2 linked regions of the Mus musculus genome follow. The protein of the gene in region 1 purifies or fractionates together with the protein of each later gene. This does not show direct contact. Links are inferred from orthologs where the notes say so. Each region holds a gene or a part of one and is shown on either strand. Other genes may lie near its edges.

Region 1 (15,532 bases):
GCAGTGTTTCCTGCCACTGAGCATCGCCGGATGGCATGTCTCTTTTTAGTATTTTCCAATCAGATGGGCAGACAGCTCTTCTTTGTTGTTTTTATTTCTTTGACTTTTAAGGTTTTTTGTTTAATTTGTTTGTTTGTTTTTGAGACAGGGTCTCAATATTGTGTAGCCTTGGTTGGCCTGGAACTCACAATGATCCTCCTGCCTCAGCATCCAGAGTGCTGAAATTTAAAGGTATACACCAGTATGCCCAGCTAAAGGGTTTTTTAGACAGGGTTTCTTTGTGTAACCACCCTAGCTGGCCTGGACTTTGCTTTGTAGACCAGGCTGGCCTCAAAGTCACAGAGATTCACCTGCCTCTGCCTCCATAGCACTGGGGCTAAAGGTGTGTGCCACCATGCCCAACAGGTTTTACATTTTAAATGTTAGAATTTAATATTAAATTGTGTATATGCATGTGTGTGCTGTGTGGGGATATGTGTATATTAGTGCAGACTCCCCTGGAGGTAAGGAGAGGTTGTCTGATCACCTGGAGGAAGCATTACAGGCTCTAAAATTAATGTATTAGCATCTTGTAAATTGTGATATTATTGATACATAAATCTGATTGGTTAATTAAGAATCTTGATTCTACTGGGGTATTGTGTATTGTGATGTGATGGCTGACCATGGGGTGCGTAGTAGCAAAAGGAACTTGGTGGGGGGGGTCCGGGGTGGGCACCAGAGAGATGACCCTGCGGGAGCCCTGTGGTCCAGCATGGCCAGAGACTTGGCTTCTCAGAGAGTTGACAGGTTCATTTTTAAATATTTCCCGCAACAGTAACACACAACTTTAATACCACCACTTGGGAGGCAGAGGCAGGCAGATCTCTGTGAGTTTGAGGCCAGCCTGGTCTACAAATTAAGTTCTAAGCCATCCAGGGATACATTGTGAGGCCCTGTCACGGAGGAGGAGGAGGAGGAGGAGGAGGAAGAAGAAGAAGAAGAAGAAGAAGAAGAAGAAGAAGAAGAACAACAACAACAACAACAACAACAACAACAAGAACAACAAGAACAAGAACAAGAAGAACAAGAACAAGAAGAACAAGAAGAAGAACAAGAAGAACAAGAAGAAGAACAAGAAGAACAAGAACAAGAAGAACAAGAACAAGAAGAACAAGAAGAAGAAGAAGAAGAAGGAGGAGGAGGAGGAGGAGGAGGACAACGACGACAAGGGAGAGGAGGAGGGAGAAGAAGAGGAGGAGGGAAGGGAGGATGAGGGAAAGCAGGAGGAAGAGGACGGGGGAAGAGGAGGAGGTCTGTAACATGACTACATTTCCAGTGTCCAGCCCTTTCCCCACCCTTCTTTGTCCCATTCACTTACTTTAGGAAATGCATCCCTGAGTCCTTCACCAGCCTTCCATAAACCCTGCTTTGTGTATCTCCTATGTGTTTTCACTTATATCCATTTCACAACAAATCATTAGGAATCTGTCATATTTCTTCTTCCAACTTAGAACATCCCCGACCTCCCCCCCCCCATCTCAGAATTTCCTGAATCTCACTTGGACTGGGATAATTTCAAAAAATCTGACGATGAGAGAATATTCCCTATCCATAACTTTAATTTTTTGTCGTATGTTTATCCCCAGGTGCTTTACGCTCTTTCAGCCGTACATACGCGCATTGTTCTTGTTCATGATTTATTGATTGGCTTGGTTTTGTGAGACAGCCTTGCTATGTAGCCCAGGCTATCCTTGAGCTCACTAAGTTGCCCGGGCCAACCTCCAACTTGAATCAATGCTTCTGTACCAGCTTCCAGAACACAGCACTCCAGCACGGCCAGCCCTTCTTAATTTTTATTTATTTACTTATTTTATTTTATTTGGGGGGGGGGGTGTTGAGACAGGATCTTTCTATGTAGTCCTGGTTGTCCTGGGACTCACTATGGAGACCAGGCCAGCCTTTAATTCACAGAGATCCACCTGCCTCAGTTTCCCAAGTGCTGGGATTAAAGTATGTGCTACCATGTCCTCTCCCCTACCTTTAAAATTGTTTGTTTGTTGTTTATTTTGTGTGTGTGTGTGTGTGTGTGTGTGTACATCTATGTGTAGGTCCCCTGTGTGCCCTTTTGGAAGCCAGAGGTCAATGTTGGATGTCTTTCTTCTATCATTCATTCTCTACCTTTTTAAAAGATGTGATATCTCTCAATGAACTAGTAGCTATTTTGTCTAAATTGGCCATCAAGTCCCCAGCATCTCCCTGCCTTCACTGACCTACAGCTGAAGTTACACACATGGGCCAACACACCCAGCTTTTAACTGGGTGCTAGGGTACTGAAGATCGGAATTCAGGTTTTCATGCGTGTTGAGAAAGGCCTTTGCCTGCTGAGCCATCTTCCCAGCCCCTCGCTTTTAGTTTTGAGGCAGAATATCAGTAAGTTGTCCGGGTTGGCCTTGAATTCACTATAACCTAGGCAGCCCTGTGACTTAATGATTCTCTTATTCTGTCTCCCAAGAAACTAAGGTGGCAGGCCTCCAGCAGCAGGACCAGCATCATTGTCCTCTTAGAGATGCTCTGTGCGGTGTGGCCTGGCCTGAGGCTGCTGCACACCTACTCACCCATGTGGTCTTGTTCTCCATGTTGATGGTAGGGATGCTGGTTCTCAGGAACAGGGTAGCCCAGCCATCTACCCTGACTCTGTCAAAGTCTTTGTAGTCCTACCAAGAAGACAGAGGGGTCACAACTAGCAGCTGAAGTCTCTCTTGGCCTCCCTCTTTGACTCTACACTCTCTACCCTCTTCAGTGCCCCACCAGACAACACCCTCAAAGGATCTGTTATCCAACCTCCCCTGCACATGCTAATGCCTGCCATTCACTCCTCTGCCATCCTGGGCCCTGTGCCGATGCCAAGACAGCAGAGACAGGGAAAGTAATGGTCTAGGTCAGGCTCCTGGACTAAATCTATCCAGCACCTGTTTCTGGTAGAGAGCCACGCCCCTTCATTTAACTAAGGTGACTTTTGTGGTCCAGTGTTGGAAACTGAGTAGATATGACAGAAACCAATCAGAAGGACTGATAGTCTAGTATTAAGAAAAGGTTAGACTAGGTAGCAAGAGAAGGCTGGTGTAAGGGTAACCATAACCTATCCCAGCAGGACAGGAGACCCAGGTAACTTCCAGGAAAGACGTGTTATTCAGAGGAGAGAACTCCAGCTGCTGAAGTTAGCTAGGATCTCAGAAGTGAAGGTTGCTGGAGACCTTGGTGACTGAATAGGGAATTCACGCACAGAGACAGAAAAGAAAACAAAACAACAAAAAAGCTGGCATTCCAGTGGGCAGGGAGCACCAGGGGCAAAGGCATAGAGATAAAATGTAAAGGACATATAAAAGGTTATTTTGGAAGTATTACACATTCACACACATACACGCAACCATAACACTGATGTGGTCACAGTAACAGACACACAACTGTGCAGAACATGATACCATTTTACACACACACACACACACACACACACACACACACACACACACACCATGGCTTCAATCCCTCCCTGTCATTCTCCTCACCCAAGTGGATAACAGTAAAGACCTCCAAACCCAGCACTTACCTCAATGAAGGTGCTGTTCCACACCCGTGCTTTCACGGTCACATTGGTAATGTTGGAGGTGTCTGGAAGGGGGCACTCCAGCCACACACAGCGGGCACGGCCATTGGAGCAGGTCTGAGGTGGACAGGAGGACAGACGGGGGACAGCCTGAATCTCTAGACGTGGTGCTGGCTCCTTACCTTCTACCCTCCTAGATTTCATCCCAGCCTGGAGTGACATGGGGTCTGGTCGTTGTTTTTCTCGTTCTCATTTTTCTACTTCACGAACATACATGCAAGATGGACTCTCGGACCAAGCTCATCTGACTCAGGGAACACAAGCGTGAAGCATAGCCCTGCTCAGGCTGGCAAGGTGCAGCCTCAGAAACCTCTTCCAAGCCAAGCACATTGAGCGTTGTCTATTGTCTTGGGATACCCCTGCAACCTCTCTAGCCAGTTAGGCTTCCCCTGGGTCCCCATATTTTCTTCTCAACCTCTTCCTGCATAGACCACTCTGCTCTACATATCCTCCCCACACCAAATGCCCAAGCTACACCCAACAGGGTGTGAGGCCTCAGAATCTGCCAGCGCTTCCTCTTTGGGTCCATTGTGTTGGATGTGCTCTAGGGTAGGAGGTAAGTCTGTTTTTCTGTCAGGAGGCTCTTGAGGCCCAGGTCTACAGCACCTCTCTAACTGATGTCTCTGTGTGAGTGGCTTCTATCACCCTTGCTTGTCGGCCCCTGATGCCCATGGGCCTTGTGTCAGGCTGAGCAGTCCTCCCCGCCTCTGCCCTGGCCACTCACCAACACAGTCTCAGACTTGGCTTTTTTGGCAGCAGCTAGTGTGACAGGCGGGGAACTCTGGTCTCCCCCTGGATCCAGTTGCCGCCGGCGGCGCTGTGGCGACAGTGGTGTGACTCCAGGGTCCTGAAGAGGGCAGAGATATGTTGGGAAGGCAGAGAGTGATAGAATAGCTGATAGGAGGGCTGGGGAGATGGCTCAGCGGTTAAGAGCACTGACTGCTCTTCCAGAGGTCCTGAATTCAATTCCCAGCAACCACATGGTGGCTCACAACCATCTGTAACGGGATCTGATGCCCTCTTCTGGTGTGTCTGAAGACAGCTACAGTGTACTCAAATAAATAAATAAAAATAAATAAATCTAAAAAAACATAGCTGATAGGAGATAGGAAAGGAACAGGGAGAAGCCAGGCTCCCAAAGGCCACCAAGGCAGCAGGGGAAGACACTGGCCTTTCTGCCCTCCGGCATGCAAATGAGACACACATGGAGCATTCCTGATAATGGACTTACAGAGAGAGTAAGGTTGAGAGGGTTGACAAGGTTTCCAGACGGCTGGCAGGGCCAGGAACCATTGCTATGGATGGTGATCTCCGTGGGGTACAGCAGCCACTTGCCATTGGTAACTTCATAGGGCCACTCCAGACCTAGAACCAGTGTGCCCAAGGCTGCCAGCCCATCTCCCACTGGGCTCACCTGTGGGCACACATGACCCGTGTGTCATGGTTACCATCCTTTGGAAAACCACCCACAACTCAACAACCCTAAACCCTTCACTTCTGAACCCCAGACTCCTTACGGTCTCCCCTCTGTCTTTCAGAAGAGTGGACATCCTGGATCCCAGAGGTGCCCTTACCTGGAATTCATATTTCAGGGGACTTCCCACATCCTCCGCAGTTTTCATGGCAGCCTCACCCATCACTGTGCCACCAAAGAAGCTCTGCAACCGATGATTCATTCTGGATAAGAAGACACCAGAGTCAAAGAGGACAGGAGGCTAGAGCCCTGCCAGAGGGGACTGCAGTGTGGATGCGGGTTGCCTACATTGCCCTTGGCACATACGACCCAGTTCTACTGTGGCCCAGCTGTGCGGCCTCACACAGACTACCCATCCTTCCTGAGCCTCAGGTTCCTCGCCTACGAGGTGGGGTTAGTAATAGTTGGTGCAGTATGGGGCAGTGATGCAAAAATCACTAAGAGTCTTTGACATCTTTGCACAGTGGGCTTTTAAGAAGGTGGGAGAGGGGCTGAAGAGATAGCCCAGGGGCTAAGGAAGGACACTTGTTGCTCTTCCAGAGAACTGAGGTTCAGTTTTCGGCACCATCTATAACTCCAGTTTCAGGGGACCTGACTGACACCCTCTTCTGACCTTCATGGGCACCAGGAATGCACATGGTGCAGAGACATACATGCAGTCAAAATACTCCATATATATGAAATATAATAAATCAGAGAAAAAAATTTTAAGCTGGGGGTGGCTGGGGAGGTGGCTCAGGGGGCAAAGCACTCGCTATGTAAGAGTGAGGGTCTGAGTTTAAATTCCCCCTCCCCCCCGCAGAACCCACTTAAAAGCTGAGTGTGGTAGCACACATCTGTAATCCAAGTGCTCCTTATATGAGGTGGGCAGGGGATCCCTAAGACAGAAGGATCCCTAAGGAAGCCCATGGGCCAGCTAGCCTGCATATGCATGCTTGTGAATGCAATGGCCACAGCAGAAAAACCCCCTGCCCCGCACAAGGTGTAGGTGAGATGCAATACCTCATACTGTCCTCTGACCTCCATATGTGTTTCATAGATGCACACATCTGCATTCTCACACATGCATGTGCTAACACACATCATACATACACATACACAAAGGTAAATATCAAGAAAATAAAGTGGAGCCAGGCGTGGTGGCACACACCTTTAATCCCAGCACTCGGGAGGCAGAGGCAGTTAGATTTCTGAGTTCGAGGTCAGCCTGGTCTACAAAGTGAGTTCCAGGATAGCCAGGGCTACACAGAGATACCCTGTCTTGAAAAACCAAAAAAAAGGGGCTGGCGAGATGGCTCAGTGGGTAAGAGCACCCGACTGCTCTTCCAAAGGTCCAGAGTTCAAATCCCAGTAACCACATGGTGGCTCACAACCATCCGTAACAAGAACTGACTCCCTCTTCTGGTGTGTCTGAAGACAGCTACAGTGTACTTAATATAATAATAAATAAATCTTTAAAAAAAAAAAAAAAAAAAAAAAGTGGAAAATTTAAAGAAAAGGGCAGAGACCATCACCTTAGCCCCAAGTGCTAATCCTGCCCCTCCTACCTGTGCTACATACAAGGAATACTAATGCAGCCATCATAGCAACCATGGCTATCAAGAAATGATGACCCAGGAGGGCCCGAGACCAAGAGAAGTGTCAGGGGAGTTTAGGAGGCTCCTTGAGGGTAGGGAAGCCCTGGCTCGGGCACAAAGGACTGGGAACAGAGCGGTACCCACAAGCTGAGCGAGGCCTGGAGGGTGTAGTCCACCTGCAAAGTCAGGAGTACGGGCTGCAAGTTGTCCTGGTGACTCGACCTGAGAAGAAAATGCAGCTGGTGAGCAGGAGACTCAGGATGTGAGCTCAATCCTGACCGGACTCCCTTCACTGGGTCACTCACGTGGACAGCTGAAGAAGTACTGGGAGGTCCCTCGTGTGCAACGTTACCCCGATGACCTCAAAGGCAATGAGCAGCTCCATCTAGCACCAGGGTCAGGGAAACAGAAAGGAGCGTTGAAAGCAGCAGGGGGCTATGGCATGGGGAAGATCCAGGCAAGGGGATCTCCATCCCTCCTCCTTATCCATCTCTGCCTCCTATCTCAGTGATAAGATCACTGGACATCGTTGCAGCTTTGGGAATCTCTGCCACTTTTGCGAAACCTTAAGCAAGCTACTGAGACTTTCTAAACCTGCATTTCCTATTCCGTGAAATATAGCTATTGTGTTAAGGTAAGTTAGGATGGTACATCAGATAAAAGACACAATGCTATCTATAGGGCGAGCATCAGGGCTCCTTGCTTGTGTCTTCCTTAGAATCATGCATAGATCCCTAGTGGCTCCATACTTTAGTCTCTGGGCCTCTTCTCACCCCCTGTTGTGCCTTCCCCTCCTCCACTCTGGTTCTTTGCTTCAAGAAATCCCATGAATTGGGCAGGTAAGATGGCTAGAAGCTCGCCAAGAGAGAAGGATGTGGCCAGGTCTCACCCTCTGGTTCCGTTTGAAGGGGTTTCCTAGCTCACACAGGATGGTCTCGTTATTAGCTTGGCAGGTCCCAGACTGAGGAAAGAAAGCAAATAAGGTCAGGGTTACACTGTCTTTCATCTACTAGGGAGCACAATTAGAAGCCCTGAAGGCTTGTCTACCGAGTAGCAGAGGTACCCCAGTTCCGAAAAAGGTCAGCACACCACAGCAAACGATAATTTAAATAAATGTCATATACAGTGGGGTGCAAATAGCCTGCCACTCACCGGGCGCACGGAGGACAGTAGCAGGGCGGATGGCACCTCTAGGGTGAGCAATGCCTCATGCGCATCTTCCCCAGCCCGTTGGCTGCTCGGTGAATTGGTCACATTGATGCTCAAAAACAGTTTCTTAGTGTCTCTGCTGTACTGGAGCCTGAAGAGAGAAGTCTGGGACTAAGCCAAAAGCCTCACTTCCACTAGGCTCCGCCCCTCGGGCTTCCAGTGCTAGGAAAGCCATTGGGGGCCAACCAAATCATACCGGGCAGTCTTAACCCTGGCTAATTAAAGCACCTCTGCTCACATCCCCCTACCCCTGCTTGCCCCAGTTCTGTCAGCCAGTGAGGCCCCGCCTAGCCCTTAACCAATCAGGGTCACCCAAATACCACCTGCTTAGAGGCTGCAGCTGCTCAGACAGGAAGGCTGCTCGCATCTGCAGGTTGCTGTCGCACTTGTTGTCTGGCCCGCACTCTTTCTGGAAGTGGACCTGGGGACAGTGGAAGGCTTGAGGAGGCTGTGACCCACACATCACCTTCTGACCCTGCAGCCCTCCTGGCCCAGAGAGGGCCTGCTCACCTCAGTGTGATTCTCCATAGCCTGTGCCTGGTTGAGGACTGGGTAGGCATCCAGAGACCGCAAGCCGAGCTTGAGGCGATCAGGCATGCGCAGAGGTAAGGAGTAGTTCATGGCAATGACGATAGGACGGAGTTTATCGCGAACATTGTCCTGGGGAAGAGGGTGCCGGGAACACAGTCCCCAAGCTAAATCCTCCCATCTCGTTAAACCCTAGCCAGACTAAGACCCAGGGGGGGTGGGGGGGCTGGGCTTCTTTCTACCCTAATCCCCTAAATAAGCTAAAACCCCATTAATTCAATCACCAGTCCTGCTATCCTGCGCTGCCCTGCCTCGCTGGGATGGGGCTCCCCTTTACTGTTTGGATCTCCCCGTCTACTTCCGCCTAACACCATGATGCCCCAAAGAGGAACTGAGCTTGTCCCGAATCAGGGTCCCATTCTTTCCAGACTGGGCCAGAGCCGACACCTCTTTTCCAAGACGATAAGCCCCTCGGCCCCATCTCTACGTCTGGACTTACCTCCCTCCTAACATGGGTGACCTGATGTGTTCGGCCACCATCGGCAGATCCATATTTGCCAGACTGACCTCCCCAAACTCTGGGGATGCCCCTATCTGTGAGCTTTGACTTAGAGGATCACTGGCCACCTCTCCCAGTGATCTCAGGGCCCCCATCCTCCCCCACAGCCCCTCTCTCACCATCAGCAGTAACTCCAGTGTCTGGCAATGTGTCTCTGGCATGGAGAAGAAGCCGTGGAAGACAGATGACTGGCTGCGGGCAAATCGGAGCCTGGGTGGGCGTCGGTCCCTGTCAGCCTCCAGTGTGTAAGCCAGGGCTGTGGACAGAGAGGGCAGTCAGCAGGTGGCCAGGTGAGCGCGGGATCGCGCCCATGAGCGCACACCCCATCTCTTTCCCACCTGAGCACACTGTGCCCAACACTTACTGATGTTCCGCCTGTAGTTGGGGTTCCCAGCGCTCTGGTTGTAGGCAAAACACAGCTCCACCTGAACACTGTTGTGGGTGGGGGACAAGAACGCATAGCAGGGCCTGGTCACAGTGGGAAGGATGGACACGTCCTGCTCTTCACTCCTGTGCTAGGCAAAGAACTCAGGACTCTTGTGGGGGGAAAAGGGGGGTCTACAAAGCTGCAGTGACTTCTCAGGACTTCTAGAGGTCACCAGTGGGGAACCTGAGGTCCAGGGAGCAGCAGGGTTTGTGTGATGTTATCAGGTGGCTGATGACCCAGTCTGGGTCTTGGGATCTCCAGATCTTACTTTTGTCTCCGATCCCCTGATTTTCAGCTCTACCTGCCCCCACCCCTTTTGCTACCAGACAGATATACACAAAAAAAGGCACTAGGGTCACTACTGATAGATCGCTCTATTAGCAACTGGGTTTTGTTTGTTTTTGTGTTTGTGTTTGTGTTTGTTTTTGGTTTTAGTTTTTAGTTTTTTCAAGACAGGGTTTCTCTATGTAGCCCTGGCTGTCCTGGAACTCACTCTGTAGACCAGGCTGGCTCCGAACTCGGAAATTCGCCTGCCTCTGCCTCCCGAGTGCTGGGATTAAAGGCGTGCACCACCACACCTGGCTGTTTTGTTTTTTTACAATTAAGGTATAGACTACTGTGCTTAGGATTTTTTTTTTAATAGCATCTCATTTAACCATCACAAGAGCCCTGTTAATTGGTTATAACCTTTTATACATTATCTGGAACTCAGACTAATAATTTGCCCCGGGGTGAATCTCCCTCCCCACGTCCATCCACCAAGAGCATTCCTCCCCCCTTCCTTCCATCCCTCAGTCTTCGGAGTTCCCCCTGCTCTCCCCTGGCAGTGAGTGGCTGCGCTTTGAGCCCGATGGCCCAGAGCTCCTGTTCCTAAGCTCATGCTCAGGCACTAGCTCCCACAAGGAACTTTGACTTTAAATGAGACTGGATAGGGAAGATGTTGCTGAGCCTAAAATGCAGCGGCTGATGGGACATCAGGCGTGTCCAGGGAAGGGCTTAGGGCCTGAGGCCTACGGAGGGGGTAGGAAGAGCTGGGCTGACAGTCTTACCAGGAGGTAGCTGTACAAAGCGCAGGGTCCAACACAGCTGGCCTGGCCACCAAGGTCCTATGGAGGATATTGATGACAGGCCGGGCCCTATAGTAACAAGAAAGCAGACAGACATCAGTATTTCCTGCCTACCCCAGGGCAGGGCTGGGGTTCAGGTTTCTGTGGATCACTGTGGAAGGTAGGCAGATGAGGGCGGAGGAGGGACATGACCCTGCCCAGTCTCTGAGCTCACCGCAGCAGCACGATGTGGTCCGACAGGCTCCCTACTAGCAGGTCTGGGTAAAGGTTTTCATCCACATCCATCTTCCCGCTCAGGGAGTAGCCGAAGGTGGCCAAGCCTGGCAGTCCGAGTTTCTCTCCATGGATTATCTGAAGCAGAGAGGAAGCGGTAGGGACAGGTTCTGAGACCTGCCTGGTGGGGGGGGGGTATCCGACTTGTCCCCACCCATTCATACCTGCTGGGGCTGCCTGAGGAGCCCCCCGGAGCTGCTGTGGTAGATGTAGACTTTGCCCAAGCCCTCAAATGGGGCTCCCACAGCGATGTCTGGGGAGGAGAGACAGGGCAGAGTCACCAGGCATACAGGGCCCCACAGCTCTTTCACTCTCTGCGGCAGGCCACTGAGCCCAGTGTGGCAGTGTTGCAGCGGTGACCTCACCCTGGCAGAAGTGTTCGGAGCAGCCAAGAAGGAATCTCAGCACTCCAGGGCTCTGGTGGCAATGGAGGCTCAGGAAAGAGGAAGAAACTTCCTCAAAGTCACACAGCAAGTGAGGGCCGCAGACAGAGGCCACATCCCCCAGTATAACCCAGGGTTCCCACTTTCCGTATCCCTACCCCCAACAGCCACCCACCTCTCTGGATATATTGGTTCTCCTAAATAACATTTACTCTCAGGACCAGAAAAGAAGCCGTTCCCCGTTGATAACCACCAACACAGCAATCACAGCATCCATTTCGTTTAACCCTTACGAGAATGTGAGTGTGTGTTGTGTGTGTGTGTGTGTGTGTGTGTGTGTGTGTGTGTGTATGTGTGTGAGTGTGTGTGTGGTGTGTGTGTGTGTGTGTGGTGTGTGTGTGTGTGTGTGTGTGTGGTGTGTGAGTGTGTGAGTGTATGTGAGTGTGTGTGTGTGTGGTGTGTGTGTGTATGTGTGTGAGTGTGTGTGTATGTGTGTGTGTGAGTGTGTGTGGATGTGTGTGGTGTGTGTGTGGTGTGTGTGTGTGGTGTGTGTGTGAGTGTATGTGAGTGTGTGTGTGTGGTGTGTGTGTGTATGTGTGTGAGTGTGTGTGTATGTGTGTGTGTGGTGTGTGTGTGTGTGGATGTGTGTGGATGTGTGTGGTGTGTGTGTGAGTGTATGTGAGTGTGTGTGTGTGGTGTGTGTATGTGTGTGTGTGGTATGTGTATGTGTGTGTATGTGATTGTGTATGTGCATGTGTGTGTATGTGAGTGTGTGTGAGTGTGTATGTGTGTGAGTGTGTGTGTGATGTGTGTGTGTATGTGTCTGAGTGTGTGAGTGTGTGTATGTGAGTGTGAGAATGTGTATGTGTGTGTGTGTTTGTGTGTGTGTGTGTGTGTGTGTGTGTGTGTGTGTGTTGCTATCATGTACTATTATTTACTCCCTTTATAGATGAGCAGACTCAAATCCCAAGGTCACACAGCCAGGAAACTGGATTATACATACAACACTACAATGGATTTTGCTTCAGTATAATGGAACTTCCCATGTCAAGACTTTTAAGATGCTAAGCAATGCCTCGTCAAATAAACTCAACACGTTCAATGATCTCAGCCTTTGCCTGACTCATCCGCTATGTTTGATCCCAGGCTGGGGTGACTGAAGAGGATGCCAAGGACAGTGAGTGAGCAGACCCTAGGCTGAAAAAACCTGACCCGTCTGTGGGAAGGGCTTGGGCCTGTGGGCTGACCCCTCTGGCATCCATGTCTGCTTTTCTTCCTTTGGCTCTCGGCTGTGTGGTGGGAACTGAGATTGTCAGAGGACTGACTTTTGGTAAGCTAAGTGCTTCCACAGTAATTGCACTCATATCATAATGCGTCCTCCCTGTGACTTCTCCCTGGGTCTGATTGTATTGTCCCTGGGTCCCACAGAACACTGGCAAAGGAATGGCACTATGCCTAGGACTCCCTCGTTGTGCCAGCCCTTTCTTATCACCTGATATGGTACATTTTGACCTTCCTCATGAGGTTTCTAACCTGCTTCCACCCCATACCACCCCACCCCCAGAATCACCCTCCAAAGCAACAAGCTATATCTCCCATCTTACTCTCGCTATGACCCAAACAGAAAGCCCCGTTTCCTCTGCCTGGCTCTCAGAGCATTCACCAGCTTGTCCCCAGTGTACGCTTCGGTAGTGTACATGACATTGCTCCTGTGTTCATGTTGCATGCTATGCCGACCGCTCTTTTGTGCACTCTCAACCCAACCCACTTATCACCCTCTATACATCCTCTCTGTTACGACTTTGAGCTGCGAGTCCTGTCAAGCTATGCAGCTGGTGCTCAGTCAGCGAGGGTTCTGAAGGAGGGATACTGGCTCCTACCCTGGAATCCATCCTGGTTGATGTCACCGATGCTGGCTATAGAGATGCCAAAGGCAGAGCGGCTGGGGCCGTGAAGCAGGAGGGAAGGTTGATCAGGGAAGGATGCGCCCGCCTGGTTCATGAAGACATAGACGGCACCCCCTACCTCCTCTTTCCGTTCGAAGTAGTAGGGAGCACCCACCAGGAGGTCCTGCCACCTGCACAGGGGAAGAGTGGGAATGGAAGTGTGAAGTTGGCCCCTGATAGACATTGAGAACGGCATCTAATGAGCATGATTTTGCCAAGGGCCATGCAATTAAGCAAACGGCAGGTCCTACCATGGTTCATGAGAAGGCCAGCACAACCCACCAAACAGAAAACACATGTCACAGAAAAATCACACAGGCAAAGATCACCCCCCCAAAAAAAAACACCCCTACCCCATTGGGCACCTTATGAATGACAGACAAGCAAGCACAGGTGTCATGCAAATGACATGCAAATATCCAGACTCATGCAAATGACATGCAAATGTCCAGACTTCCAAAAGGTGCAATTGAGACCTTGAAAACCGTGAACCGCAAAAAATGTGTGAACGGAAAAAGCTTCTACTTCTCTGATCTAGCTTGAGCAAGCCTGCTACCCACCACCTTTCCCCCTGGCCCCAGAGGATGCCCCATGTCCCTGGATTCTCACCCATCATTGTTCAGGTCTGCCAGGGCAATGGCACTGCCAAAATAAGCGCCCACCTGCGTGCCCTTCAGCACCTGCTTCCTCTGCAGGTCTCCACCTGACTCTTGCTTCAGCAAGAAGACAGCGCCCATATGTTGGTGCCGTGGGGCACCCGTCACAACAGTGATGATGTCCGTGGGATGTAGGATGGCGTTGCCTACCTGCACCGTGTACCCTGGGATGGGGGGGGGGGGAGTGTTCAATCAAAGCCCCAGTAAATCTATCCCCTTCAATACTGAACCTATCCTCATTGTCCACCCTCTATTATTTTTCTATTCCTCTAGGCCAAGTCGAGTAACAGATCCAGTCCTTGCACACTGGGTTTTGAGCTTCCTGATGGAACTTTGCGTCCGAAAGCTTAAACCATGTGCAGAGTCTCGCATGCAGGCGGTGCTCAATAAGTGTGTGCTAATTGAACAAAATGCCTCAGGTCACATCTGCACTGTACTTGCACCTCACAGCACACACCAGGGGTAAAAGGGCCAGTGTGTTAGGGATCAAGGTGGCTCCTCCCATTCTTCAGTAGGCCACCAGCACGGGGCTTACCAATATAAAGGTTTCCTTGCTCCTCTGAGCCCCTGTAGCTATATTCAGATAAATCCCAGTCCTTCCGCTGAATCATGTAGCTGTTTCCTGCAGAAAGATTGGGGAAGGAGAGTAGCAAGAACCAGTCACAACCTTTTCTTCTACCAAGCCCACCTCCCCACAACAACAACAACAACAACAACAACATGTGTGAGCACTGTGCTGATAAATCACTTCCTCATTTTTTTGTTGTTGTTTATTTTGTTTTGTTTTGTTTTGTCTTGATCTCCAAGACAAGGTTTCTCTTGGTAGTTCTGGCTGGCTTGGAACTCACTCTATAGACCAGGCTGGCCTTGAATTCTCAGAGATCTGTGAGCCTCTGCCTCCTGAATGCTGGGACTAAAGGTGTGTGCCACCATTGCCTGGCTGCTAAATCCCTTCCTCTTTGAGAATGTTTTTTGATGTAGGGGGTGGGTAGGTGGGATGGGGCTGGAGAGATGGCTCAGTGGACAAGAACACTGACTGCTGCTCTTCTAGGAGACCCAGGTTTGAGTCCCAACACCAACTGTAGCTCACAGTGGTCTGTAACTCCAGTTCCAGGGAATCGGACAGGCCCTGAGCTCATGCCCCTCAGGCCCCAGCCTTCCAGCTGTTGGCTGGTTTATGTGATTATAGGTATGGGTGTTTTGCCTACATGTGTATCTGTGCACCACCTGCATACAGTGCTTGCAGAGGCCAGAAGTGGGCGTTGGGTTCCCTTGGAGTTAGAGTTATAGACAGTTTTGAGCCACCTTGTGGGTGCTAAGCCATCTATCTCTCCAGCTCTTTAAGCAAGTATCTTGAGAGAATGAAGTATTCTGTAACCTGAAAAGGATGGTCCTGTAAGTATTGACCATGACACTGCTTTTAGCCTATGATGTACGAAAAGAGAATGCGGGAGGCCAGAACATTTCACTTGATCTCTTTGCTTTTAAGAAGATATTTATAAACACTAAAATAACGGGCTGGAGAGATGGCTCAATAGTTAAGAGCACAGGCCGCTATTCCAGAGGACCCAGGTTCTGTTCCCAACACCCACATGGCAGCTCACAACTGTCTGTAATTCCAGTTTCAGGGGATCTGACACCTTCCCACAGACACACACCCCAGCAAAACACCAATGCACAAGTGAAGTAAGTGTGAAAGGAGTCCTAAGACACTGTGAATGTTGGAAAAGGCATGAGGGAGGTGGAAGGACAGGAGGAGCTTTTTTTTTCTCTCTCTCTCTTTAATT
Region 2 (16,167 bases), on another chromosome or scaffold:
ACAGAACCTTCTTTGGAATGCAATTAACATGGGCCATTTCCAAGTTAGACTATTCTGGCTGTTTCTGTCACTTAACCAGGTGGCTCTTTACCTCTCTGGAGACCCAAACCCTACCCCTGCCCCTTCTCAAAGACCCCCAAAGGAGAGAAGAGATAAGGCTGAGCTGGGCCTTCTACACTTGTGGGGTGGGAAGAGGAATCACCAATTGGAAGCTTATGATGCTGGGTTCCTCGTGTGGTCTAGAAGTACAGAGCACCAGTTAAATTAAGCCAGTGTCTAGAAACTCTTTCAGCAAGGATTAACTGCAGAGTCAGTGAGGGTGGGTGGGGAGGTGGCTCTGCAGCGTGGGCTGCCCCAAGTCATCATGGGAGCTCAGGGTTCCGCTGCTCCCCTCTTCTTTCTGAGATTGGGGACTGGAGCCAGGGCCTCCTGCATCTACAACCCCAGTCTTTTTTTGGGGAGGGAGACAGGGTTTCTCTGTATAGCCCTGGCTATCCTGGAAATCACTTTGTAGACCAGGCTGGCCTCAAACTCAGAAATCCGCCTGCTTCTGCCTCCGGAGTGCTGGGATTAAAGGCGTGCGCCACCACGCCTGGCAACAACCCCAGTCTTTAAGATTTATTTTATGTGTAAGACTGTTTTGCCTACAACATGATGCCTTTGGAGATCAGAAGGAGGCATGGGATCCCTGGGAACTTGAGTTATAGGTGGTTATGAGACACCGCGTGGTTGCCGGAAACCTAACTTGAGTCCCCTGTAAGAGCAGCAAGTGCTCTTAGTCACGGAGCCATCTCTCCAGTTCCCACAGCACCAGTCTTGAATCTAGGCTAGTTTCTTTTGTGTTGTTTTCTTTTTGTAATAACCTGCGAGACATAGACTAATGTCAATGCTGATTAAGCCAATTAAAAGTTTTTAGTTTTTTCTATTGATGACCAGACCAAGAGCGGGCTTGAGCCTCTAAAGAATCTCTCGGTGCCCAAGCTCAGGGGTACAATGTTTTTAAAGGTAAAACCCACACAGATAATAGAGAATGGTCAGAGTAACCTTGAAATGGTCATTCTTGGCAGAACACAATGGTTATTTTAGACATATGGACCATTGTCAAGGTCATGGAAATTTCAAATGTTTTGCTAAGATAGATGTGACTAGAGTGTGTGTGTGTGTGTGTGTGTGTGTGTGTGTGTGTGTGTGTCAGATGGCATTACCTTGGTTATTTCAGTAATTTTCTTTCTTAAATTATCTCTGTTTTTGAGACAGGGTATCCATAAGTAACCTTGGCTGTCCTTGAAACTCACTCTATAGACCATGAGATCCACCTGCCTCTGCCTCTGGAATGCTAGGATTAAAGTCACACGTCCCTATACCCAGCTAAACTTAGGATTTCTTTCTTTCTTTTTTTTTTTTTTTTTCTCGAGACAGGGTTTCTCTGTGTAACCTTGGCTGTCCTGGAACTCACTTTGTAGACCGGGCTGGCCTTGAACTCAGAAATCTGCCTGCCTCTGCCTCCACAGTGCTGGGATTAAAGGCGTGCACCATCACGCCTGGCAATTTAGGATTTCTAACAGTACTTTTTAAAACCTTCTATTATTCCCCCATTCAATTCCAGGAAATCACTCATGTCAGAAACATGGGATTCAGGACAAACCAGAGGTTACCTGGAAACCAAGGGAAACAAATCAATATGGGGCCGTTCCTGAAGTTCACGGGCCCCAGAACAACAACAAAACCAAATCATGTATAACGTTCCCCACCATCCCCCACCCCCCCACCCCCGAAACGAAGTCCTACTAATTTCATGGGCTTCCCTAACAAGGTAACAATATACCCACAATACTTAAAACTTAGCTGGGCATGTTGGGGGCCCATGCCTTTTTAAATCCCAGCATTTGGGAGGCCGAGGCAGAGGCAGAAGCAGGAGGGTCTATCTCTGAGGCCAGACTGGACTACATAGAGAAACCCTGTCTCAAAAAACAAACCAAACAAATAATAATAATAGAAAAAACTCCACAAAACCCAAAACAATAACAACAACAAAAAACCCCAACAGACAAGCACCCCTCCCCACATGAATCTATAACTAAGTATTTTCTTGGGTGGATGGGGTAGAAAATTACCCGGATGGATATAATTTTTATAAAATTGTCTCATCTGGGGACAGGATATTGCTTTCCACAGCTGCATGCCACCACTTGGTGGAAAATAAAAATGTCCCTGGACCAGCCTGACTCTTTTACAGAATGGAGCAGCCGGGTGTCATGCAGTCAGACTTCGAAAACACAACATACAAAAAGTTACTAAGGCTAACTTAAAAACCAAAACTTCTTTAGTTGAAATATACTTCACCTGACAGTTCGGTGTCAGGGAGATTTACAGCCTCTGAAATGAGGAGGTTTCCCCCCCTCCCCCTCTTCTGTATTTAAGAAGTAAAACCCATTTCTGCAAGACTTTGACTGGAAAGCAAAACCCAACCCTTTGAGGGCTGGGGCAGGGGGTGGGATGGGGGTACAGCTCAAGGGCAGAATGCTTGCCTTCCATGCACAAGGATTTGGCTTCAATCCCCAGCTCCAAAAACCAAAAGAATAAAAAAGTTGACAGGTCCTATTAAAGTCCCTCTCACCCAACCAGAACAGGGAGGAACTCAGAAATCACAGTGTGATCTCTTTTCTCAATGCCACAAGGGTTTACCCAGAACACACAAGACGGCACCAGCACTGCAAAGCCACCAGAACCCTGAGATCGGAGCCTCCACTCCTGTCTGTCCCAAGCCAGAAATAAGAAAACACCCAGGCAAATCCATCTACCTCTGTGCGTGCTACCAAAGAAAACATGTTTCTTGTAAACCCAAGGTATTTTTAGGTCCCAAACTGTGTGACCCATTTCAGAGGCCACAGCTCCTTATAAAAACTGAACTGAACCCAAAACTAGGCGGAACCACCCCAGAACACACAGGCCTATGTGTTAAGATGAAAGGTTCATGCCCAAAACACCACCCAAAGAAGGGCAGGCAGGAGCCAGGAAAGGCTCACTTAGGAAAGAGAGCACTGACCGGCCACCCCAGATCCACTCCTCTACGGCTGCTTATCAAAGCCTGTCCAAATTTGGGAAGTAACCAGTAACCAGCAACCAGCAGCGGGCAGCAAAGGCGTCTTGGGAGCAATAGCAAGGTCTGGAATGTTGCCACCGGCAATCTGAAAACAGGGGCAGTGTCTGTGAAGAGTGTGTGTGTGTGGTGTGTAAGAGAGTGTGAGTGTGCTCACATGAACCCAGTTCTCACCACCACCCAGAGATTGGGATTCCAGATCTTGGTTACTGGTAACTATGGCTGGGGGTGGGGGAGAAACCAAAGCTCTAGGCAGGGGCCAGTTCCTATTTTCCATAGCTGGGCAGACACTTGGCCTCGGCTCACCCTCTCCCCAACCTGCCAGCCAGCTCCAGTACAAGCAGGGCAGTGTCGCTCCAGCACAGGCGGCTCTGTGGGAAGCCATTTTATGCCACAGTTCAACCCAACATCCAAGTCAAACAACTTCTGCAAGGAGCAATCTGGGTGGGGAGGGGCTCCTGTTCCAGCCACCTACCCCTCCACAACCTGCCCCGACTCGAACCCGGATGCCTTGGAACACTCTAGAGTCTCTTCAGCTTCATTTCTCAGGAGTAGGTGTACCTTCCTCCCTGAGTCAGATGTGTACAAAATGGAGGCAGTGGTTCTGCTTTGAAGAGTGAGGCCAGCTCTCCTACGTCGGCTCGTATGGCAGGGAGATGTGGAAAAGCCGTAAGGCTACACGGCACACACAGCCACATAGTCCGGCCACACTGAGTAGGAGGAGTGTGGCCTAATCTGTGGTTTAAGCATCCATACTTACCTGGGAATTGCTCCCACCCTCTCCAAAGACCTCAAATCACTTTCTACTAGTGAAGCAATAGAGCTACAGGGAGATGCAGCTAACCTGCCCAGGGGCTGAAGATGCTGAATCCAGGGCTGTACACTGACCATTACAATCTATGACCATAAAAGGCCAAGGCGGGGCTGGAGAGATGGCTCAGTGGTTAAGAGCACCACCAACTGCTCTTCCAAAGGTCCTGAGTTCAAATCCCAGCAACCACATGGTGGCTCACAACCATCCTTAAGGAGATCTGACGCCCTCTTCTGGAGTGTCTGAAGACAGCTACAGTGTACTTACATATAATAAATAAATATTAAAAAAAAAAAAGGCCAAGGCAATGGAGCACTTACCAAAGAACCAGAAGAAAAGGAGACCCCCCCCCCCCCCCCCGCCAAGAGTGAGGGAAGGTAAAAGGAACAGGGAAGATCCAAGAAACAGGTTTATACTCGCAGGTAAAAGCCAGGGAACAAGTCTCACTATCCACCGTGATTTCCAGACTCCTACACCTCTGTTACGTGGCTTGCCGGGAAGTCTTATTAACCAGAGGAGAGGTGGGGCAATGGTGTGTGGTGGCCGGGGCTCGTTCTATAGGCTGATCTTGAATGGACCTTTGAGACCTTTTGCGTCAAGTCATGGGTTTTGTGATGAGGAAACTTCGGTGCGGATCAGGAAAGTGAGCTGCCTGTGGTTCCCAAGTAATCCGCCCTCCGCCAGGCTCTGAAGCCTGGGTCAGCTCTCTGCCTACATTTCCAAGCTGCTTCCGTGAAGGTGATGTCATCTCTGGAGGTGGAGGAGATCCCTCTGTTACTTCCATCCTTCCGGATGGGGAAGGAGCAGAAACAGAGGGTCAGAGTGCATGGAAGCAGGATCTGGCTGGCTCTCTCAATCTGGGCTTTCCTTTGCCGAGGCTAAAAACCATAAAAGACTTCGCTATGTGGGATCTGGGGGAATGGGTGTGCGGGATGGGGAAAGGCCAGACAGAGGCAACAGGATCAAGGCCAGTTGGCTGTATAACAAAGCCTTCAACAAACAAACAAACAAACAACGAATGGGAGAGGCACATTCCAGGCCCGGCTCAAGGCTGGCCACCACATTATAGCCTGAAACACTTCTAATCACCTGCCATTCAGACATTAGGAAGATGTTTTCTTTCTCAATTCTTTTCTTTCTCTTTTGGAGGGAGTGGAGGGATAGACATGGAGATCTGAGAGAAATTTGGGAACCACCAAAATAGGCTTGTGAGGTCTGGCTCTGAGGTTGTCGGAAAACAGACCGATTGCTGGCTTGGTTGTGGGCAGGAGACACCCAACTTCAGAAAGGCAGGCTGGGCAGGCTCAGCTGTCACAGAGCATGTCCCACAGGGGACATGCTCGGGCCTAGGAGAAAGACAGATTCCCCTTTGCCGGTCCTCCCTCTCTTCCACTGTCCCAGGGCGACTACGAGAGGCTGGCTTCTCTTTGGATTCCTGCCATCCAGCCGCTCAGTATCCTCTACAGACAAAGGTGGCCTCTGCTTTCCAAAGCCCACACCAGGCACCAAATGTCAAGTTCATAAATCACTGGTCTCAAGAGATTGAAGAGGTGACATCATAATGATCCCAAGGGTTCCCCCGAGAGAGATCACCGCCTGTAGTAAAAGATATTTTGAGGAGTTTCCTCTCAGCCTTCCTTTGCTCCTGCCCAATACTAACTACCTCACTTGATAATACCCTATCACTTGACCCTGCCTTTAGCACTTAACCTATCATGGGCAAGATTTCTGGTCAAAATGGGAATAATGTTTCTTTCTCTGGTTATATCATGGAGCTTGGGGAGGCCTTTGGAGACTGTAAAATACTTAGCACAGAGATTGTAACAGGACTGTCCCTATTAGAGCCCAGGGTAGGGCAGGTAACAATAATTAACATAGTAAACCGCCCACCTCCCTAATGGTAAGAGACAGGAGAGTAAAGAGAGCAAACAAGGGGCCCAGAGGTTACAGTACTAACTCGGCTTGCGATCTTGGGCACCCTGGTTCCTCACGGTGGACACGAGAGCTAGCACCTCCAGCTGGTGCATAATCTCCAATGCAGTTCCCAACCCCAAAGTCAAACCCTTCTAGAGTGAGACTGTCCTGCTTCAGGAGGCAGAGTCAGCCAGCAGCAACTTGTCAGGGTTCTGGATAGGAGCGGAAGTGGCAGCAGGAGACAAGATGGGCAGACTGTAGGCCAGCAGGCAACAGAATGAGAAGACATAGGGTGGCCATGGGCACCTCCTCTCAGCCCCTTACATACATATGCCATGGGGGGCAGATGGGAGATGTAGGCAACTATGTGGTTTCCCCTTAGCACCAAACTTTCACACCATCTATGCAGGCGTCTGGGGACTGACCGACAGACTAGCAGGGAAGAGACTAAAAGGTAGAGGGAGGAAAACTCCCCAAAGGACAGGGCGGGGTTGGGTGGGGCCAGCTGCCTTCAGACTTTGTTTTGTAACAAAGCGCTCAAGCTGATGAGTGGACCAAGCCAAGCCTGGGAGCTGGCTGCCTGTCTGCAGAACTGGGGAAACACAAGCAGGGAATGTCCTCTGACATCCTCTTAAGTTGTATGGGTGTGGTGGCTCCTAGAAACCCAGGGCAGTCTCTGCAGGTTGTGCAACACTTCCAAGCAACCCTGGAGAGTATTAAACCTTACAGTTGCTGGAAGATGGTGAGCATCCCGGTGGCCAGCTCCAAAGGGAATAGTGGACTTTTTAGTTGTTGTTGTTCAAAGTCTCTGGTGGCACAGGAGTTGCCTAGTTAAGCTCTTTCCTGATTGCCTGGGAGCAAATTCCGTCCATTTGTGTTTGGGAGTGTGCCCTCTCAGAATCAGGACAAAAGGGTCTTCCGTGTATTTCCTTGCTTCTGTCCCTGAGTTTTGGGAGAGTGGACACTCTCTTGTTGCCCTACCCAGAGGCCCATCTGTAGAGTCTACTAGCACCTGCCTCTGGACCCTCTGCAGGTGAACGGCCATTCCCCTTGGCCCCACCTGGACATTTTTAGAGCGAGGCTTCAAGCCCGCAGTACCTGATTACCTGGGAAATGCAGAAACACCGGATTTATCCCATCTAGAGGCGCCAATAGGCACCTTCCCCGCCTTCTTTTCTCTTAACTCTCCCAGAGTTCTCTACAGCCAAGATAGTTATCGCTCTTGAAAAAGAATCAAGACAATCTAGTCTTTCAGGTAGCTTAGAGAGAGGCATGGACGTTTTCAGTTGAGAGTTCAGGTCCTAAACAAGGAATGTCCGACCTCCAGGTGCAGGGAAGACTCCCCACACCCACTTCCTCTCCCTCCGTAGCACCCCTTGTCACTTGTGGGACCACCGAAGTGGGAGACGCTCGACTGCCCTGCTGGCAAGGAGCCTTGCGGGCCGGGGAGGGCATCGAGTTACTCGAAAAGGTTGCTCCGCTCCTCCCTCACTCCTCTCTCACACTCGGGGGTGCTCCGGGTGGGAGCAGGCACAGAGCCCATCTCAAATACTCGGCGGTAGAAGGACCCGGGAGCGAAGTGCACAGCCGGAGCCACCAGGACCCTCGGCTCTCCCACCCACTTGCTCCTCCCGCCCACCTGCCAGTCCCGCCTGGCCAGCTGGCAGCCGCTGCGCCTTTCTCTACTCGCCCGGAGTCCGCCTGGCGCGCGCAGTACCAGCGGCTCCCGGCGCTCTCGGCCGCCGGGACACTCTCCGCCCCGGACGCCGTCTCGGGCCTGAGAACAGGTGGCCTCGGAGAGGAGCGCGCCGACAGTCGCCTCTCACTCACCCAGAAGATGAAGTTAAATCCGAAGAGCAGGTATTTGATGCACTTGCTACCTCCTTTGACCGGCATGGTACAAGCTGGAGTTGCGTGGGACAAGAGGCACGAACGACTGGGACAGAAGGGACTCGACAACCGACTGAGACACGCTGCGGCTAGGGGCTGGCCTGAGGCTCCACTTTTAAAAAGTGCCACTCCTTACGGCGCTCGGCCAGCTGCTATGCGCATGTGCGGAGGGATGCCGACCCCGCCCCCCGGCCCACCTGCCCCGCCCATGCTCTAATCCCCTCCCCAGACCCAGGTTCTGGGACTTCGGTTTCACCCTCAGTGCAGAGCTCTCTCTGCACCTAACTTTTGCCGTCTGGTTTCTAAGATCCTCTTTCCCTCCATCTTCCTTCTTCCCACCGTCTCGGGGTCTTTCCGGACCTCCGTACCCGACTTCTTTTACGGGGAGTTAAGTGCCGGCCTCGCCTTTCCCGTTCATCCTAGTTCATCCTGGGCTCTGCATAAGAGCTCACGTTGGAAGACCCCCAAGGGCCATGTAATCTTAAGAACCTTTTCAGATTCCCGAGGCAAGTCTGCGAGCCCCTATTTGCCTGGCTTGCGTTCTCTCTGACACCTCCTTGTAAACCTTTCTGGACTGAACGCACTTAGTTGAGCACGGTGGCCGCTAGAATGTTCTAGGTGCTAATCTGAGCAGTTCTACTTTGCTCAGAAACTTTCTACGTTCAGAGACTTGAGTTGAAACCCTTCTTCATCCTGTATTTACTCCGTTCATTCCCTGCCACACCTGATGCCACACCCCTACTCTGCTGCGCCTCCATGCCTGCAGGGGTGTATGCTGGCCGCCCTGCCTCCTTGTGAAAATTCTATTGTGCTTTATTATTTTTTTTATTTAAATCTATTATTATTTTGAGACAGAGTCTTACTATGCTGTCCTATCTGGCTTGGAACGCCCTGTGTAAACCAGGCTGGCCTTGAACTCATAAAGATCTGTCTGCCTCTGCTGGGATGTGCCAATACGCCCAGCGATTTCATTTCTTTTGAAGTAGGATTTAGCCGTTTGTAGACCTACTGACCCGGAATTTGCTTATGTAGCTCAGGCTATCTTCAACTCCAGTCCTCCTGCCAGAGCGGTTCAGGCCACCACGTCCTGCTCTGTGACTCTCTAAATTCTTTCTTGATTTTTTCAACAGGGTGAAGAGGCCCTTCTCAATATCCTTTACAGTTTTCTCTTCCTCACCCCTGCAGGAAGTTTCCTTAGCATTCTTCATTGCAAAAGCAAACCGTACTTATTACAGAAACATCAGAAAATATCAGAAAGCAAAAAGAATGTGAGTTAAAATTTTTTTTCCTGGGTTAAAGTACGTTGGAGGCCAACGCCACAGGAGACCCGGTCCCCAAAAACAAAAAATAAAAACAAGAAACTTTTTCACATAGCAAACCCAGCTCTGTTAGCATAGCACAGCTCTTGTTTTACTGTTTATCAGTAGACTGGCTTCACTATTTATCAGTAAGTAGACTGATTCATTAATAGACCCAGTTAAAAACCTTTTTTTTTTTTTTCCCACAGTTTAGTTTAGAAAGGTTCTTCACTGGGGAACAGGAGTCGAAAGCAACACATTCTGTCTTCCCTGAAGCAGCTTAGGAGTTGGAAGAAGGACGCAGGCAGGAGACTTGGAGGGTGTGTGTGGTCAACTTAGGGGTCTCTTGAGAGCTCTCACAAAGTAAGTGTTACAATCAGGGAAGCCTGGCAGAGCTGGGGCTCCCGTGGTCTTCTGGAGAGAGCTGGTGAGGACCTTGTCCTCTGAGAGTGAAGGTGAACCCCGGGAGTGTCAGGTGAACCCCTTGACTGTGTGTGGGCACGGGACAAGAGGGCAGCCTGCAAGTGCTGTGCGGTTAGGGACCCTTGTTTGTATCTCCACTCCCTGGTGTAAAACCTTGGGGCACTGGACAGAAAATCCGAATGCATTTGAGGAGGTGCGGTTAGGTAAAATGAAAAATGGAGCTCCGTTAGGGGGTGTGACCAGTTTGGGACCTATGGGAAGGTAGGAGCGGCAATGGGACCTAAAAGTCTGCCGAGGAGTCATGTGGGAGCCAGAGGGAGAGTCTGAGCAGAAGCCGAATCTCTAAGAGCTTCTTTCGCTTCTTCTAAATTTTCTTAGTTTTACCACGTTATTCTTGTTGAGTGTAGTGCCATGAAGGCACCTTTATCCACGGATAGGGGTTCGAGAGACCCTAACAGGCAATTCTGTGGACATCCCCGAGTCAATCTGAGCTAGGCCCCACGCAGGCGCTATCTATGACTTTGGAAGTCAGGAGGCATCAGCGGAGCAGAGAGTGGCCATCCAGGAGGAGCTGTGTGTGAGGGCCTAGAAACACAAAGACATGGCAACTGTCTGTGCCAGGGAAGCTACTGGCTGTGGGGGAGCGAGGGCAGAGGACAAGGAAGGAGGCAGAGCTGGGATAGGGAGAAAATAAGGTCTCCTTGTACTGTTCTGGTGGGAGTCCATCCATCTTAAGAGAACAGTTCTATTTTTGTTTGTTTGTTTGTTTTTTCGAGACAGGGTTTCTCTGTGTAGCCCTGGCTGTCCTGGAACTCACTCTGTAGACCAGGCTGGCCTCGAACTCAGAAATCCGCCTGCCTCTGCCTCCCTAGTGCTGGGACTAAAGGCATGTGCCACCACGCCTGGCAAGAGAACAGTTCTAAAGAAAAGGTTTTATCTCCTTGTACTCCCTCCCCCACCATGGGAGAGTGGGGTTCAGTAAACATTTGTGTCCACATCAGAACCTGCTCTGGATAGCGGTGACTGCTGAAGAGACTCTCCCCCAGCCCACTGCCATCACTATTATGGTTGATCTCCAAGAAACAGCCTAAGACCCCATTACATAGAATCATGGATTCCTTTTTTTAAAAAGATTTATTTATTCATTATATGTAAATACACTATAGCTGTCTTCAGACACTCCAGAAAAGGGCGTCAGATCTCATTATGGATGGTTGTGAGCCACCATGTGGTTGCTGGGGATTAAACTCAGGACCTTGGGAAGAGCAGTTGGTGCTCTTAACCTCTGACCCATCTTTCCAGCCCCCTCATGGGTCCCACCCCCCATTTTTGTTTTTGTTTTTGTTTTTGAGACAGGGTTTCTCTGTGTAGTCCTGGCTGTCCTGGAACTCACTCTGTAGACCAGGCTGACCTCGAACTCAGAAATCTGCCTGCCTCTGCCTCCCAAGTGCTGGGATTAAAGGCGTGCGCCACCACTGCCTGGCTGGATTCCTTTCTTTTAAAAAAATTATTTTTCACTTGTTTGCTTATTTTAAAAGAGTCTCAGTGTTGTCTTAAAGTGGAAATCCTCCTGCCGGAGATCCCAGGCCCACACAAAGATGTTCCCTTATACGACAAAAGCCCTGAACCTGGAGTTGAGGGTCTTGGTCCCTACTCTGTGGTTTATTTGGAAGGGTTACCTCCTGTCTTGGGACTCTGGTCTTCTATGGTGTAGTGATGTTCTGGGCCAAAGTGTGTTTGTTACAAAAGCTTCATGCTGCAGGCAACCAGGAAAAGGGAGGAATGGAAAAAATGTGGTTTGCTTTAACTAGAAGAGGAAAATGTGGGTAAGCCCTTGAGTCAGCGATCACATGGCGGCAGCCAGACCTTCCAGGCTTTTATAGAGTTGGGACTGGGAAAACTTATTCTGCCTTCCCTGGGGGTGGGGTGGGGGTAGGGTGTGGGTGGGATCCTGTTTCTGGAAAAAACCCCAGTTCAACTCAAGGGGTCCCAGTTGGCTCTTGTGCTCCCCCTGGTGGTAAGATTTAAACGCATACGGCCAAGTTGGCTTTAGTGTGGTCGTTTGTCTCATCCCCATGTGGGTACCAGCATATGCAGCCCCCAACAGGATCCTTTTTCGAAACAAGAGCCTCCTGGCTACTGTAGCAGTGACCATTGGGTTTGCTGCTTTCACTACGAGAAGGTTCCACGACTTCCTTAACTCTGAAGCAATGGTTTTCAACCTTCCTAACGCCAAGACCCTTTAATGCAGTTCCTCATGTTGTGACCCCCAAAGGATTTTGTTGCTACCTTATAACTGTCATTTTGCTACCATTATGAATCATAATGTAACTACCTGATAGGGGACTCCCAAAGGGGTCGCGATTCACAGGTTGAGAACAGCACGCTTCTTGAAAGCCAGCGGTGTGAGCCTTGGGCCATTGCTCTATCTAGTCTTGTCCGTGTGGATTGCTTGGTGTGACTCTGGGCGTCAGCGTATTCCTGTATTGATACACACGTGGGTGGTGAGCACCTTCAAATAATCTCAGTTTGGGGTAGGGGGCTGGAGAGATGGCTCAGCAGTTAACAGCACTGACTTCTTTTCCAGAGGCCTTGGGTTTCATTCCCAGCACACCTGTAACTCCAGTTCCAGAGGATCTGACACCATCTCCTGGCCTCTGTGGGCACCAGACATGCAGGTGGTGCCCAGGCATTCAAGCTAACAAAACAGCCATACCAACATAATACAAATTCAGATTAAAAAAAAATCTAAAAGACCATTTGCCTGGATTAATTTCCATCCCTTGCTGGCTTTCTGTAAATATCTCTGGCATAAGTTCATGGAGACAAACCTCACTCAAGGGTTGGTCCTCAGGGGTCTGCTTTGCTCTTGGCTTTCGAGTTCCCACCATTTCCTTTGTCTAGTTACCTCTTTGTCAATTGAAGTCATCATGTTTGTTCAGCAGTCATCCAAACATGTCCTTTCTTAACCCCCAGAACTCGTGGGTGTGCCACTCCTCTGTGCTTGGAGTGAGGGGCTGTAGATAGAGTTAAAGGAGCTTGAAATGGAGATATTTTTGGTGGGACTTTGTAATCAAAGAGATTTGTGTTGTTTGCTTTCATTTTTTTTCCTCTTTTGACAGATCTCATTAAGGAGCCCAGAGTCTTTGATTCTAGATCCTCTTGCCTTATCCTTTTGAGAATTGGATTTCCTTCCTTCCTTCCTTCCTTCCGCATCAGCTCCTACTTCCTAACCTGCTTGAGTTCCAGTCCTGACTTCCTTTGGTGATAAACAGCAGTGTGGAATTGTAAGCTGAATAAACCCTTTCCTCCCCAACTTGCTTCTTGGTACTGATGTTTGTGCAGGAATAGAAACCCCGACTAAAACAGTCCTCTAGAACTTAGTTAAGAGCCAGTGCTCTGAACTGCTGTACCATCTCTCCATTCCTCCAAAGAGTTCCTATGAAAGAGAGGTCACAGTTCCCTAGCCAGAGGATGAGATGTGAGGACAGAAGCCCAGGTTAGGGCGATGTGTGGCCTTGTGCCAAGGAACCCAGGTGCCTCTGGAAGCTGGACCAGATGAAGAAATGAATTCCCCCCTTCAACTGTCAGCAGGAACAAACCCACCACTGCCCACTTACTGACCTTTGATCTCTGGAGTGGTAAAATAATTGAATGTGTTATTTTAAGCCACTACACTTGTCATAATTTATTACAGTAGCAGAAGGAGATGAACACAGTTATTAAAATAAACATTGGGACCAGGGCACAAAATCTCTTTGGGATCCTACATGCAAAATGAACTTGGTCTTTTTCAATCCTTCTTTCTTCCGTCAGCCTTCAAGCCCTGCCTTGCCCGAGGCTCTCCCTTCTTCTTCCTCTTACCTGCTGAGCGAATAGGGGCCCTGTTTCCTAATATGTCTCATGTGATGGAGCACACCTTCAATTCCAGCACTTGGGAGGCAAAGGTAGGTGGCCATCTGTGAGTTCAAGGCCACCCTGTCTACAAAGTGAATTCCTGGGTAGTCATGGCCACATAGTGAGTCCTCCTCTCAGCCAACCAGACAATCTCCCAAAATATTGAAACCAAAACCAACCAAAGAATATATGGAGGCAAAAATAAGAGATCCCCAGAATAGGTTGGCTGACCAGACTAGACAATTTCCTGAGCTCTGGGTTCAAACAGGAAACTCTAGGTCAGTATAACAGGTGGAGGATGATTGACAAGCAAGACAGTTGACATCTGGTCTCCATATACATGGTCACATTTCGCGTGCGCTTCCACACATGTGCACTCACCTCAAACGTGTGGCCATATGTAAACACACACACACACACACACACACACACACAGACACACACACACACACACACACACACACACACACGCGCGCGCGAGCACACCTTACAAAAATCCCCTTTGAATAGCTCTCTCTTTAAAAATCCCATTTCATGGCGGATAACCTTGTCTCCTGCCTCCATATCCAGCCTCTGTCAACCTCTGATCCTCATTACCTATGAATGTCCTTTGTACATGTTTATGTAGAGTAGTTTAGCTCTAGCCGGGCATTCCAATTTCTTTCTCTCTCTCTCTCTCTCTCTCTCTCTCTCTCTCTCTCTCTCTCTCTCTCTCTCCTCCTTCCTCTTGCCCATCTTTCTTAAGTCATCCTCTTCAGAAGGTGTGTGTGTGTATGTGTGTGTGTGATGGTAAGATGGTGTTTGGAAGAAACCAACGTTTAATACTGCTGATTCATTATGTCCCTTAACCTCTTCTTGCTCATTTTTCCTGTTTGAAGACTTCCCAGTTCCCTTCCCCAGTATACTGCGACTCTTCTGTAACACTACGACTTTCTCCTACGATGGAGAGATGGAGAGTGTGTATTATTATTGATCCAACTATTGTAGCTAAAAGGCAAACTCCACAGGTGTGGGAAGACTTGACCATGCTTGGTGTATATTACCTGCTTTGCATAGGTCAGACACAAAAGTAGTTGCATAGTAAATGTTGACTGTACAAGACCCTGACCTCCTGGATCTGAGATTGGCCAAGAGGCCCCTTGCTCTCTCTTCTGCTCCTCTTTCAGGATGTCACATGAATCCTCATGTCTGGGTTCCTCACTTCCTTCCCCAGCCCCAGTTCCTGGTCCTTCTGCCTTTCACCTAGCTGTCTTTAAGGCTAGTTTAGCCCCTATCATTCCAGCGTCGTCAGCCACCAAAGGCTGCTCATGACCTCTCTCATGCCCCTGCAGTGATTTCTGTTTTGTTTACTTGTTATGTATTTATTTTAACTCTTTTTTTTTTTTAAGGCAGGGTCTTAGTATATAATCTTGACTGTTCTGAAACCCATTTTGTAGACCAGGCTGGCCTCAAACTCATGGAGTTCTTCCTGCCTTTGCCTCCCAAGTGCTAGGATTAAAGGGGTGTGCCACCATGACCAGCCCTTGATTAATTTTTTAGGACAGATCTTACTCTTTAACTTACATTGACCTGGAATTTAGTGTGTAGTCCAGGCTAGTCCAGAATCCACAGGCCATTGTTCTGCCTTGGTGCTACACATATTGGATTTACAGGGATGAACCTTCATGCCCAGTTACTTGTTACTTTTTAATTATCAACTAGACTCTTAAAAAAGTCAACCTGGCCTGTGATGTCATGCCTTGTGCATTTTTAAAACAAACAATCGCAAGTAACCTTGATTCCCAGCTCCTGTTTGTAGGTAGTTTCTGAATACTGAAAGCAAGCCTCTAGGGCAAACTCATGGGTGGGTGTCTATTACACTTCAGGCAGGCGCTGATGGTGAGAAGCCCATTTAATATGTAAATACTCTCAGAGGTTGAGAACTTGCCCTCACACATAAGCAAAGAAAACAAATTAAGAATTGCGGAAGCAGCCAGCTTGAATGAACTCAGATGGCCCAACCCCAGAGCCTCTAGCTAAAAGGCTGACTCCTGGGGCGTGAGTGGATATATTACTATTAGCACCCCTTTGGTGTCCTTTATTCTTATCGATTGAAACAAAGTTTCACTATGTTGCTCATGCTGGTCAAGAACTCCTGAGCTCAGGCAATTTGCTAGCTCCGTCTCTGGAATATCTGGGTTTACCAGGACCTGCTGGCTCTCTTCTCTGGTGACCTGGGATTATGCTATCCTGAAGTCGCCTGCAAACCAGCCGATTCTCCTGTGAATGTGCATATTGGATTTGCCTTTTGTTGGTCCTTCCTAAGCCTAGCCTCTCCTTCCACAGCATCAGAGAGATTACTGCTCTTTCTGTACAATGCGAGGTGGGTGGGAACCCTGCTAGAACCTGCCCTTCCTCAGTGGTAGGCACCGGCACCCACATACCATCATCTGCTTCTCTTGAGTCCATAGCAGCTTGTGTGTTCTGGGCAGTACTTCTGGATTCAGCAGAAGAGGCTCCCCCTCCCCACCCCCTCCCCCGACCCTCACTGCCCTCTCGAGAGTGTGTGTGTGTGTGTGTGTGTGTGTGTGTGTGAGAGAGAAAGAGAGAGAGAGAGTGGGGGAGAGAGATTGAGAAAGATCTTTCTTTCATAGGGAGGCAGAAAAGGAAAATATTAGCAGTCAGGGGTCCAAACTCCAGAGCATTTACCTGGTTGCTATGACAACCCAGGCAAATTGTTTTCCCTTTCAGAGACTCCATTTCCGTGTCTGGTAAGTGGGCTCATATTCCTGAGTAATCACTGAGAACCAAATGAGCCCTTGGATGTGGAAATGCTCAGTAAACTGGAGACATCC

Evidence for each region.
Region 2: the proteins of Itga3 (region 1) and Cd9 purify together in Homo sapiens (affinity purification with western blotting; 3 studies listed by BioGRID and IntAct, with this or other methods). This does not show direct contact. The link is inferred for Mus musculus from reciprocal best matches to the Homo sapiens genes ITGA3 and CD9.

Annotation. Positions count from the first base shown.
Region 1 is NC_000077.6:95,048,855-95,064,386, forward strand, and holds part of Itga3 (integrin alpha-3 isoform 1 preproprotein), read right to left. Parts: intron 14,368-15,532; coding exon 14,281-14,367; intron 13,910-14,280; coding exon 13,699-13,909; intron 13,221-13,698; coding exon 13,024-13,220; intron 11,014-13,023; coding exon 10,925-11,013; intron 10,839-10,924; coding exon 10,702-10,838; intron 10,557-10,701; coding exon 10,470-10,556; intron 9,426-10,469; coding exon 9,358-9,425; intron 9,250-9,357; coding exon 9,113-9,249; intron 8,567-9,112; coding exon 8,417-8,566; intron 8,328-8,416; coding exon 8,230-8,327; intron 7,998-8,229; coding exon 7,850-7,997; intron 7,659-7,849; coding exon 7,587-7,658; intron 7,083-7,586; coding exon 7,003-7,082; intron 6,920-7,002; coding exon 6,842-6,919; intron 5,324-6,841; coding exon 5,221-5,323; intron 5,061-5,220; coding exon 4,878-5,060; intron 4,494-4,877; coding exon 4,371-4,493; intron 3,704-4,370; coding exon 3,590-3,703; intron 2,697-3,589; coding exon 2,598-2,696; intron 1-2,597.
Region 2 is NC_000072.6:125,486,919-125,503,085, forward strand, and holds the start of Cd9 (CD9 antigen), read right to left. Parts: upstream 7,843-16,167; 5' UTR 7,722-7,842; coding exon 7,656-7,721; intron 6,568-7,655; exon of another isoform or gene 1,632-6,567; intron 1-1,631. UniProt on the Homo sapiens protein: Integral membrane protein associated with integrins, which regulates different processes, such as sperm-egg fusion, platelet activation and aggregation, and cell adhesion.